Neodiprion lecontei: one gene and its partner. Each later gene encodes a partner of the first gene's protein in a complex. Links are inferred from orthologs where the notes say so. Each region holds a gene or a part of one and is shown in the gene's direction. Other genes may lie near its edges.

Region 1 (6,638 bases):
ACGACAATTGGAAGAAACTGTTGTTGCTATTGCTGTTCAAAAATATTTCATCTTCTACCACATAGAATAAAATATAATGCTTAAAACCTATAGGGGTGAATAATAATTACGTGCATGTTGGTAATTATGTTCAAGCCAGTGGTCAAAATTAGCTGCTATGCATACTAATGTTAGTTGAAAAAGATCATCAAAGCAAAATGATGTGAAGGCTCAGAATTCAAAATTTCTTCAAATCTCTAGAAAGTTTAATACATTTACAGAATCATAAGTATTGAATTGTACTACAGAACTCCATTTGGAAAAAGTTGAGTATGTTGAGTGACTAACTGGAACCACTAGGTTCAGCTTCATGACATTGTGCTGTTAAGGGAAAGAAAACTCTGTTTTTGCCCATAGCAGACAAATTAGAAGGACCAAATACTAACAGTGAGAGTGTACATAACGATGGTATAGTTCTTTCCAGCTGCTTGATTCAATCGCCGTCGAATAGCTTTAACTGCATCCCGAGGTCCGTCTTCAGTTTCGTTAATGATATCGCATATTTCCATATTAAGTGCCCAATTCTCACTTGGCAGGCTTCCATCTGTAGCTTGTTCTGCAATTTTATATCACAATGTCTCAATTATTCCAGTACACGTTGAGTTACAGTAACAGCGCATAATTGGTTCAATTTGTAGACATCATTTATATTCCTACTGCCACGCAGGCTGCGACATGCGAGTAAAAAATTTCAGCGAGTGGATTTTTTTGCAGATTTTTTGAATTCACTGAGAATAAGTTTCATCTAAAAATAGAATATAAACCTGTTAACAAGATCTAGTTTCAAGTGAATTGGATTCTATGGCAAGTGCCCATTAACAGACAATGATACAAGGTAATTTAATTATATTTTCAAGGAAATATAATTACTAATATAATTGCACCATTATTCAGAGGAATATTATTGCAAAAATTGTGATAAGTTTCCATCAGTTCACACCTTTGAAGCAGCTCAGTAAGAAAATATAGACAATAATAATTTACGCTAATTAAACGTTCCGCTTATGCTCCTGATAATTGACTACATAATTAGTGCACCTCAATGTTCATTAGTAAATCTAAGGTAACCAGAGGAAGAAGGGAATATAAAAAATAAAGAAAGAAAGGAAAGCTAAGGAGTGCTACAACAATGTGGTGCAGAAAATAATCAATAAAACAAAACAACTAAAAAAAATCGCGACACGCCAAGACAATAGTATTGAACGTTTACGTAATAATGCAGTAAGTAACCAATTAGGCGAATGAATATATGGTCAAAACAACAATGGCATGGAAAAAGCTAGGCTTATACGACGAACTATGAATCTCACCTATTCTCTGACCAACTGGCGTCGAAAATGGATTCACAGGTACACCGAAAAAAGACATTTTTTGTTCCTTTTATACCGTATTTGGATGTTAGAACTTTGCACACTGCCTCTCGGCTTACTGCCGCATAAGTAAGTAGCCTGACGGTAAATTTATCGGCAAATTGTTGTCGGACAGTAACAGTTTATCAAATTTTCACTCTCCCGATGTGTCACGTAGAGATAATCATATGACACCGTGGTAATGGAGTACTGCGCCTAGACGTCAAATCATGTTTTCCCCGACCAATGGTACTCCATTTTCCGTGACGCAGCTGCACTGGCTTCGCTAAATGACCGCCTATTGGCTCAAAAATCAAAATGGCCGCCTCGATTGAATGCTTGCTACGCATATTCAAACGCCTCGGAAGACGAGGCGTAAGTAATGCCTATAGTCAACATCGTTCGGATAATGAGTGTAATGAACTGGGATTCGTCAATTGCGTCTATATTTATTACGACAATTTCTTATTTTTAATATACATTTTGCCTGAAAACTGAGGCGTGATGCCATATTTACGATCGGATTTTCAAATCGGAGCAAAGTTTGAAATTCAACAATCACGAATTTTTATAATCTCATTTTCAAAGTTTTCGAATTCGATCATGCGAAAAAAAATGCTTTATCATTAAAATCTAATTGCTTTTAATTCGATTTAGTCTTGAATGTGCATTTTGTAACGTGGCAAAAACAAAGAATCGATATAGTAATGTTCAATGAGTCATGTCATCAGGCTCATTGCGACGAAAGTATAAATATCTATATCGCTATGGAAACGGGAAACTATTTTGTTGATATGAATACCAAGCAAATGTGAATTCTAAGGTTAAATTTTACATCAGACCATCCCACATTTTGAACTAGCTGATACGTGAATTTTGAATGCTAAAATTATTCACGTGAGTTAACGTTTCGTACAACTGCATACACCAGTTTCTTCATCGTTGTATTTCATTTAAACATACAAAATACAACGAAGAGTTTTTAGAACGCAGTATAAATTATGAAGACTGAAGACAAACCGATAATATTGCAAGAATCCGCAGAACCTGGGGTGATAGACCAAAAAATGCTCGTGGCTTTAATAATTGACCAAGGGCCAAAAAAGGAAGCTGGAAGATTGTTCGTAGAGGATGGGATAAACCTGGAAGAAGTGACAGAAATTCGAATCGAATTTCTTAGTAAGAAACCTATGGATATTATGTGGGATCCAACACGGGCGCGGTAGGGTGTCGAAAAAAAATTAATAAACGTCGATGGTCTTACATCGAGTGTACGAATATGAAGACTCGGAAAACTTCGTGCTAGCTGTTAAATTGTTTTTTTTTTTTTTGTAATGTAGTGTCGAATCCTATTTCAGAACAAAATAGTTCCTTATACTCATTACTTTTATCTTTTTTAGATATTTTAAATATAGACCACCTATGGTTAATGCCAAACTTGGTGAAATTAAAACTGAGCAACAACAAAATTGAAAGGATTGTTAACTTGGATGTCCTGATTAATTTAAAAGAGCTTGATCTGTCGTTCAACCATATCGAAACTATGGAGAATTTGAACCATTTGAAATGTTTGGAAATTTTATTGCTGTATGAGAATCAAATTAGTCTTATTCAGGGAATCGACGATTTGAATGAACTTACAATTTTCAGTATTGGAAATAACAATATTGCCGATTGGCATCATGTAATTCATTATTCTTCTACATAAGTTCTAATTTCGCATCATGTGTGTTATTGTTATTATTGTTATTTTTTTTTAACTTAGTCAATTATCACCTAGAAATTCTTATACTTTTTCAATCATTGAATCAACCAATCTTAAATTATCGCACTGTAATTAAATTATTATTGATAGCTATATGTAGGGCTCCAATTTGCTTAAATTTCATGGTCAGCATAATTGCTAAATTTTTACAGGTCATGTATTTACGGAAATTCAAAAAATTACGGAGTTTAAATGTCTCTGGAAATTCGTGCATGGAAAAAGAAGGATATTTGAACTATTTGATTGCCTTTATACCACAATTAATCTATCTTCAGTACAAAATGATAACGGACCGAGAACGCCAGGCTGCCGCTGATGAACATTAGTAAATTTCATATTTCCCGTAAATCGACAGAGTTAGATTGATTTGTAAAAATCCACTCATGCTCATAATTTAGAGTATTTTTAATACCGCCAGATATTGCAGGCCATCATGGGATATAAATATTATAGTAAAAGAATTGCAGGAAGAAATTAATAATGCATTGTTCAAGTTTTATCCTAGATGCGTTTAAACAGAATTAATGATAATCAGTTTGTATACTTAAATGTTTTAGTCGAATCATTAGTAATTTGTTGGAAGAAGAAGCTAAAGAACAAGAAAAGTTGGACAAGCAAGCAGCATTTGAGGAAAATGTTGCATTATTATCCATATCTTACGTGGAATATCTCGATGACGACTACTTGTTCAATAAAATGTTTGAAAAAGACAAGGGTAATTATGAAAGAAAGAAAATTTTCTCTTTTAATTCTTTTTGCTTTTATCAACAATATCTTAAATATTATTCTCTTTATCTTAAGACATCAATACTTTCTATTTGGCATCAAACTACGCTTATTCGTCTGGGATACGATTTTTTTTTTCGTTAATCTAGCCCTACTGGAAAAGTTTGAGAGGATTTGTAAGATTCTAATAGAATATTATAGAATGGATTTCAGAAACACCATAGACTTATCACTGTGTATCGTGTTTGTGGCTCGTATTCTATGATATTCTTTAATATCTAATCGTGATCTATCAATGCCTATCAGGCTTTTCAAGCAGAAAAATATTCAATAAATAAAATTTCCGTCTTAAGTGTGAATTTTACCATAATATTTGAAAATTGAATGTCTGAAAATATGTAAAATTCACATTTTGATTCAGAAATACTTCATTACAGAAGGTAACGACTTCTTAACACTCAGCGAAGATGCACGATCTGCATATGCGGAGTATAAAGTAAAGTTCATGGAACTTTGCAAAGATTTGTATGAACTGGGGCTAGCTGAACAAATCCGAAGGTCCAACGAAATAAAAATGTTTGAAGATTTAGTCACTAAAGGTGAAGACGACATTCAGAAAGATTCCCAAATGTAAGTACCAGATATACCTTACATAATTCATATAATAATAATATGAATATAAAGTGTATAATCGCAAATGTCAATAATTAGTAAAAATAAATCACAGATTTCGTCAATTATTCATACTATTAAAACAATTTCACAATAAATGAGACTTTCATTAAATTACAAGTATAAATACACAAAAAAATGCTAATCATATTCTTCGGACAAATAAATTTATTAGCATTTCTTTCAATTGAAATTTTTTTGTATAAAGGATGATGGATGAAATAATGGATAGAAAGGCTGAAATCTTAGCAGACGTAAAAGCACTTATGCAATCAATGACTGAAGAGTTGGAGACTGAAGTTCTCGAAGAAAAATTAGACAAAGCTCGTCAGCTGTCCGAAGAATTCAGTGACTTGGTGGCTAGAACCTGGACAAAGCTCATGCACAAGGAAGTGATTCTTCATGACCAAATGGAAGTGTGTATCCATTTATTTATCACTGGTGTTGAATGAATTACTGGTATTCCTTTCAGCTATTCATATAGTTTCACACAAGGCAAAGTTAGTCATACATGATAAACATTTGATTTGGATTGCACAAGTAATCAGAGTTCTCCAAATACCTCCTATTGCTTAATAAAACTAATATTGACCGAGCAAATCAATTAGACACACTTGCGACGTTTGACCTGCAGCTTTTTATAAGTATTGATTGCAACAAATACTGATAATTATATATTAACAATGACATATCTGCAGGATATAAACGAAGTGTTCAAACAGCATATGACAGATATGGTTGGATCGTTCTTAGAAGCAGCCCAGAATATATTCTCATTAATGAGAAATCTGGAAGCCGAATATACCGACAACATTGCTGGAATAGCTAGTGTTGTTATGAATACAAGTCAGGCTACGGAAGATAGTAAAATGTCACCTAGTGTAACGGATATAATCGGTGATAAGGACATTTTGAATAACAATTTGGCAGCATCCCATGATCTACATCTCCAGGTATGCTTATATGCTTATTTGAGTGCACGAATAAATATTAAGCTATTTAAAATCAACAAATGTCGTTTTTCATCGCTTACGTTTTTCGAGCAGTTGCATAATGATCAAAACAACATGATAAATGACATGGGCTCTCATAAAATTCTTTTAAATTCTGCTTATTCAGATCATCGATGGGCGTGAAGATCGTCTAACAAGTCGACTTAATGGTTGGCTTGAAGGGAAGATTGAAAAATTGGCAGAGTAAGTAGCAGCATAACTATTGAGATAATTTAAACCACAAATATCCAAGATACACGAGATCTGTCTCGTTTTTAAAATAGACTGTAGACTGTAGAATTTGTGACCTATATTTTTCGAGTAGTAACCATATTAGTAAAGTCGAGGTGGTCTTCGTTTTTCTGTTTTAAGGAATGAAAGTAACCGGAACCGTCAGAAGATACTAGAAATTTCCCATTTTCTTGAGTGTCAACGGGAAGAATTTGATGCACTACAATTACAGCAGCCGTTATACGTGAACACTGACGATCCAGATATTGCTGCAGTACTTGAGCAATAAAACATAAAGCAACTGATTTCTTATAAAGCCAGTTTGTTTCATAATACTGTGAACAAAATGAATTAAATGTATAAACAATAAACGTTTTATCCATTCCTACTGTTTATTAGTACCTATTTCAAATATAACATACTCAAAAAAATTCACGGTAAATAAATTCATATCAAAATATTTTTATTTCTTATCTGCATTGTAAAGTAGAAAAATCTATTGTATTCGCCATATATCACAGCTCTGTCAGGTGGGGGCTGTTATGGCATGACGTATCGTTACTGTTAGCTTCAGCGGTTTCACTTCTTTTTTAAGCTCTGGATGTACATATCCAAACCCTTTTGTACCTGTGGTTGCTCTAAGAAGCCAATGAATATTTTCACATCAAAATCTCTATTTTTTTCAAGCCATGAGAGTGCTGACTTCCTTAACTGATGCTTCGTTGCGGACCTTGCACCAGCTGCAGAACAAAATTTGTATTAGAATATCTGTATTCTAAAATAATACAGTTAATATTATCACACAGAATACCGAGACTTAAAGATTTTCACATTGTATTTGATTTTGCAATGATATCTTCATAA
Region 2 (6,600 bases), on another chromosome or scaffold:
ATTTTATATGAATATATTGTCATTACAGGGATACTTCGGAGCAGTTGGTTGTTTATTACAATTTAATGGCAATACAAGTTAATCATGTCCTCCGGTCCGTGCCGTTACGTGAAGCATTCCCATGAAGATCAAATCTTGATAACTATTGCGTCTGGTCGCATGTTAACGAAGATTTGTAGATGATTTCTATTTATCGAATTTAGCCTTTTAATAATAATCTAAAGTCCGTAAGCAGAAATCAGTATTTTACTATTATTTATTTTTGTTATCGTTCTTACTTTATTTTAGGGCTCTCTACACGTTCACGAATATGTATATATGTATAATATATGCGCAAATTGAGTAAAGAAAAACGTGCCACGCTATTCGATTTGCAGTCACAGCCCATTGTTGACTTATCACAAAAATAGCAGATTTCATATAATTATTAATAATACAGTCTGTGGTTTCGAATCAATGGCTGCGCTTTCCTTTGTTCATTCTGTACACGTATCAAGTTTATATTATACAATCGTATTGGATAAAATTTTCAACATGTATTCATAAAAGAGATAAAAAAAAAAAAAAAACCATCATAGAACGTCCAAGGCTCAGGGCACAAATGTTTTAGTAATACAAAATCAGTTGTTGGACCAAACTGTACGTGAAAAGTGAAGAATTATTTATCACAATATTTTACAAAATAACTTACTTAATATTATTTTTAAGTTGTTGAATGATATTTGCAAGCTGTCGATGCTATATCTGAGTTTCTCGTACAATATTTGAAGAACTGGAAATATAGCTTGAATTATGAACTGATAATTCTTGCAAAAAATCGTAACTTACTGATAATGAATTTTGTCGTAATACTGATACGTAAGATATTGTACAGATTATGTAGAACATTTTTAAAAAATTCAATCTTATACTAACTCGTATTTTATTAGGTCTGGGAATAGTCGTTCTTGCATAATATTATATACAAAAGTAGTTCAATACTGTTTTCTTTTCATTTTGATAGTTTTATATAACGGGATACGTGTTGGTGAATTTTAATATGCATTACATTACACCTACATTACACCATATAAGACAATATTTAGGTAACGCGAATTGAATTGCTTGAGGCTCTAGCTGGGATATACTTGCTCTGCCTTAATTATCTGTTATTACACTGTTGAAATATGTACGTATCGTATGTACGTCGTTGATAAATCTCGACGCGTTATTGTATTTTATTTTCACTATATATGCGTGATAGTAATAAGCCTAACAAACTATAAGATTAGCAAAATTGTGTTACGCTTTCTCAGAGAAAGACTTTAGATAAATTGTATGTTTATACGAGTGTCACGAATCGATTGTTTACCTTTTTTGATCAATGAACCGGAGAAATTTATTAAATTATTGTCAGTACCAACCATAACGAATTTCGAGTTATTAAAATAGATGTAAATTACTTACTTCTTTTTTAAACGATCGTTTAGTTTCTGATATCATGTGAAAAGGGATTACAGCATATTTTATCTATTTAACTATAACTATGGGCTGCAGCTGGTACATTTGGAAAATAAGTAAAAGATCTCGCATCCTCCGTTCGCGCTATTATCGTTCATTATTCAAATCATTTTCAGTTGTCACTACATGTTCTGCCAATAAGATAGACATTGTTGTGAGTTATGATTTGTGAAACTGTTTCATTTATGTTTATAGTCAAATTGATTGAAAAAAAATTATTGAGTATACCTGTAATCTGTAATCTTATTTACAAGTAAACCCTAGAGAATTTTAATAGACAATTTGTAAAACATGTATAGTTATTGTCTATCTATTCCAAATTTGTTCATCTTTATTCAAATGATATTCTTTGCTAATACTAAATTGTCGATTCCAATTTTAAAAGCAACCAGTGGAGGCAACAGGTGTTTTTATCTATATATTCTTTCTATACTTGACGTTGCTTGGTAACCATAGACAAACAGTATGGCAACATTCTGAAGTTTGGTATTTTCATTGCTTTCAAAAGTTTTGAATTTTCGAATAACTTTACATCAGTATTCAATGATTGAATAATTGAATAGGTGTACGTACTACACTATCTCATTAAAGAAAAATTTATCGCAAACTATACATTGGAGTACAACTAAAGAAAGTATTGTCAACGTCTTTGTAAAAATTCACTAGCACAATGGTAAGGTTTAAAAATGATCCGTCAACTTATATGTTTTCTGTCAATGCCAATTTTATTAGTAAAAAATATCACTTTTTCTTATAGGGTCCTAAGAAAGGAAGAGGGAAAAAAATGGAATCTGTCGAAGGTGTAGATACATCGAAAATGAATAGAGAGCAGCTGGAAGTCTATTCGCATAAAATTTTGGAAGAAATGGAAAGGGAACGCGAAGAAAGAAATTTCTTTCAGCTAGAGCGTGACAAGCTGAGAACATTTTGGGAAATTACACGACACCAACTAGATGAAGCTCGTGCAACTATTAGGTAGTGTAAAAACGGAATAATACTTACTAATTCTTTGTCAAGAATCTTATGCAATGATATTTACGTAGAAATAAGGAACGTGAAAAAGAAGAATTAATTGAAAAGCACGAAGCTGAACTAAAGTTGTATAAGCAAAAAGTGAAACACTTGATGTATGAGCATCAAAGTAATTTGTCCGAAACCAAGGCTGAGCATATGGTTGCGCTCAAAATGGCTCAAGATGATCACATTTTGCAAGAAAATGAACTTATCAAAGATAAAAAGGAGCTCAAAAGAATGCGCAAAGAGCAAGAAATGGCACAAGTAGATGAAATACGCGAACTGAAACTGGTGCGTAGTAACGTAGTCTTTTATAAATTAGAATTTACCTTTCACCCATATTAATATAAGATTATATGATTATGTTCTTTCCCTCACTTAATAGGCAAATGCAGAGGAAATGAGTAACATGATGAAGAAGTTTGAGGCAGAAGCAATCGAACTGGAGCAAAAGTATGAGCATAAATTAGCCGATCAATACGAATCGCTGACATTGAAACATCGAATGGAAATAACTGAAGTAGAGGAAAGGAAAAACAAACAAATTGCGGATTTGATAAAAAATCATGAAAGATCATTTGCTGAAATGAAGAATTACTATAATGATATCACACTAAATAACTTGTCTCTAATTCGAAGCATGAAGGTGAATGGGATATGACCTGAAGTCAGATTTATTCGGTACTGTGATACACCCATCATTTACTCTTGAGAAAGTCAATTGATCCTTATATTTTAATCTGCTAGGAACAAATGGAAGTGATGAAAAATCACGAAGAGCGAATGAAAAAGCAGGTACGAGAATTGTCGATCGATAACAAAAAACTCCAGGCAGATCTGAAAATTGCTCAGGAACAAGTATCAGAATATAGTCGACAACTTCTGAATTACACCAAGGACAAAACGTGTTTGGCAGTGGGTGTTGGGGTTTATTCATTAATGCCAATTATCCAATGGCAGTTCACTGTTTTCACTTATTTATGTATTTTTGTTTGTATTAGAACACCAAGAAACGATTGACTGAAGCTGTGAAGTCACTAGAAAACCTGAAATGGGAGAACGAAGTGCTTGAGCTGCGATTCGAAAAGGTGACTAGCAAAATATGCATCCGAGTGCATCACCTGAAACTATCTCATAGGATTTTACTAACTGTGCACATTTTTCGTTTTTTGTAGTGTCAAGGTGAGCGTGATGAACTTCATTCCAGGTTCGTCTCAGCGATTTTAGAACTTCAGCAAAAGACTGGGCTGAAAAACGTCCTCCTCGAGAAAAAGTTACAGAAACTTTCTGACTTGCTGGAACAGCGAGAGGTCCAAATAAGTGAAGTGTTAGCTGCTGCTCAGTTAGATCCAGCGACTATTTTGAGCGTCAATCAGAAACTGGAAGTAAGTGTGACTATTCTGCCCTGTTATTTGAATACTTCAATTATCACTTAATAACTATTTTATTCTACCAGGAATTGTTAAATCGTAAAAACACAGCCATTCAAGATCTTCAAGTGGAATTAGCAAGAGTTTGCAAAGCACATGACGATCTTTTAGTGACGTGCCAAAGCAAATTACAGGAATATGGAATACCAGAATCTGGGATCAGCTTTCAGCCCATCAGAACCAAAGTCTTAGGTGCAAAAATGAGTCTTGTTTCTACCTCAGTTGTGTCTAATAATAGATGAGACATTAGACTGTATATAATATAAACTTTCGTACAAGGTCGTGTAAATAAAACATCAGCGTATATAAAACACGCAGTTGTCAACGTCCATACTATTAACCTTCTTGAAATATCGATCAGTACTACCCTGAGCATAAGTATGTATTTGCCATCAATGGCTATGTGAACAAAAATTTTTGTAGATGTGGGTTGAAAAATTGAATTTCCTTCGATGCACATACAATACTTTTATTCCAGAATACGGTAAACGATCGTCAGAAACAGATACATCTATTATCCTCAAATATTAGATAAATTTATCACAGAGGATGTACAATATGTATATATATATATTTATGTATATTTATATAGGTATATGCGTGTGTGTATGCGTCATAAAGATTAACGTGACATGTCCCCTGAAATGATGAGGCATACATTAAATTTTAAAAAAATCATATTTTTGTCAATATATTTTCCATTGTTTTCCTCATGTCTGCAAAACGAGAAGAGTTTTTTTTAATTGATGCTGTCGGTAGAAATAAACAATAACATTGAAAGATTTGAATTACTAAAGCCTTATGATTCGTCGGAACAAACATGCGCCACAAATTTTATAAGGTTTTACCATACATATACATACCTATTCGTGTATGAGTACAAATACGGCAATGTATGCGCTTTCAAATATACACTATAGACGTGTACATGGTTGGTAGTTTAGGTTTTTGCTGAATTTTAGTATAGATATTTTTGCGCGCGCGCGTGTGTGTGTGTGTCTTGTTTGTGTATTAGACATTTACTATTCTAAGTTTAATATTATTTTAAGTCAAATACGTCAGGTCACAGTTTATTAAATTTGAAACATTTATCAAGGCAGGACACAGATAAAACACTTCTCTGCGTATATAAGTTGAGAATTGGATCTTCCTTTTCTGAAATTTGAATGTATGTACGATATTTTTTCTCACAGGCCTCAATGGTTACAATAAACAATTATCAAGCTCTTTTGCAATTTTATGTATGTACTAATGAGGGTACATATTACAGATTTCAGATGAATCTCAAAATAAAGATGTGTTTTATAGTTTTCCTGCATTACGAATATATATATATATATATATATATATACATATATATATTTCTTCATAAATATCGTATTTTTGTTATTTTATATTTGTAAAGATATAATTTTATATAATAATATATAGTAATAATTTTGGCACAATAAGAAATAGAATCACAGATGAAATCATTGTACATCATGAGAGTGGTAGATGAATAGAATTGTACCGAATGTTGAAAGCAGACATAGTCCAGTAATAATTGCCTACAAATGTAATATAGTTTTCAATACTCCACGCCAATTCCAGACTTTCATACTTTCCGTATCATAGGGATTATAATATTAAGATTCACGGTTGAAAATTTCTTTCTCTAAGAAAACAACATGACTTAAAAACTAAGAAACTCCTTCATGCAGAAAAGATTAAATTAAAGCACCACAGTACGTTACAAAATGTTATCCATAATAATTTGACTTACTTTGGCAAATACGTTTTTCAACCTATCACAAATGCCATAATATTTAATAGAAGATAATATAGAGTGATAGATTTTCTTTTCCCGCACTTTTTATACTTTCATGTAGCAAATACATAGTAATTATCTGTGTATATAATATATATAAGATATAATATATATAATAGTCTCATTCCTCACGCCTGCTTCCAACAACTCGTTTTGTACAACATGTTACGATACTAAAGCTACATAGAAATGCTATGGATTTTGTTCTACATTACAACTTCAAAATAGCTACGCAAAAGCTAAAAACAGAAACTTACAGGGTACAAATTACATGGATCTTGGTATTAATATCCTAATCATTTGGTACTTTACTGGAAAAAGAATAAAAAGTTTTTACTCACAGGGCTTCCATATTTTTCGTTCAACTATTTTCACGTAAATCCTAATGTAGAAAAAATAATTATATGTTTAATATTAAATATATTATGGTCCATTGATCCTTTGTTATATATTTTGCTTTCAATTTTTTTTTCTAACAAAAAATATTTTTAATTCAGGTTACTTTGATTTTTAACAGGAGGAATAAAAAAAAAATCAAATAATTTCTTTGTTTTCGTAGAAAGGTTCGAAATTTTGTTAACTGGTTCACAAAATTGTGTCATCAGGGTACCATTTTTTAAAATTAAGCCCTGTTTATGCATACCCCTTACATCTATTTTATGTGTATTAATATGTGTGTATATACATATATATGTATATATTATATATTTTTGAACATGAATTACCTTCACTAGAAATTTAGCTACCTATTGACTGTACTACGCCAATGAATATACTTCCATGATTGTTGTACAGAGAGGACATTAAATGCTATATTGGTCTGGTATTGAAAAGGCTTGTAGAAAA

The links. Proteins that work in one complex are often made in the same cells at the same time.
Region 2: dynein regulatory complex subunit 3 (region 1) and dynein regulatory complex subunit 4 share a complex: the UniProt entries of both Homo sapiens proteins name them as parts of the nexin-dynein regulatory complex. The link is inferred for Neodiprion lecontei from reciprocal best matches to the Homo sapiens genes DRC3 and DRC4.

The regions. Positions count from the first base shown.
Region 1 is NC_060263.1:21,534,842-21,541,479, forward strand, and holds dynein regulatory complex subunit 3, read left to right. Parts: upstream 1-1,663; 5' UTR 1,664-1,763; intron 1,764-1,782; exon of another isoform or gene 1,783-2,285; intron 2,286-2,374; 5' UTR 2,375-2,389; coding exon 2,390-2,567; intron 2,568-2,788; coding exon 2,789-3,072; intron 3,073-3,305; coding exon 3,306-3,478; intron 3,479-3,710; coding exon 3,711-3,868; intron 3,869-4,316; coding exon 4,317-4,509; intron 4,510-4,759; coding exon 4,760-4,967; intron 4,968-5,249; coding exon 5,250-5,504; intron 5,505-5,670; coding exon 5,671-5,747; intron 5,748-5,915; coding exon 5,916-6,063; 3' UTR 6,064-6,136; downstream 6,137-6,638. Other genes in the region: TOM1-like protein 2, read right to left, coding at 426-595, 1,350-1,407; enoyl-CoA delta isomerase 1, mitochondrial, read right to left, coding at 6,354-6,514. UniProt on the Homo sapiens protein: Component of the nexin-dynein regulatory complex (N-DRC) a key regulator of ciliary/flagellar motility which maintains the alignment and integrity of the distal axoneme and regulates microtubule sliding in motile axonemes.
Region 2 is NC_060265.1:27,418,683-27,425,282, reverse strand, and holds dynein regulatory complex subunit 4, read left to right. Parts: upstream 1-1,855; 5' UTR 1,856-2,170; coding exon 2,171-2,173; intron 2,174-2,257; coding exon 2,258-2,475; intron 2,476-2,543; coding exon 2,544-2,805; intron 2,806-2,899; coding exon 2,900-3,160; intron 3,161-3,261; coding exon 3,262-3,429; intron 3,430-3,515; coding exon 3,516-3,602; intron 3,603-3,689; coding exon 3,690-3,899; intron 3,900-3,970; coding exon 3,971-4,186; 3' UTR 4,187-6,068; downstream 6,069-6,600. Other genes in the region: pantothenate kinase 3, read left to right, coding at 29-82. UniProt on the Homo sapiens protein: Component of the nexin-dynein regulatory complex (N-DRC), a key regulator of ciliary/flagellar motility which maintains the alignment and integrity of the distal axoneme and regulates microtubule sliding in motile axonemes.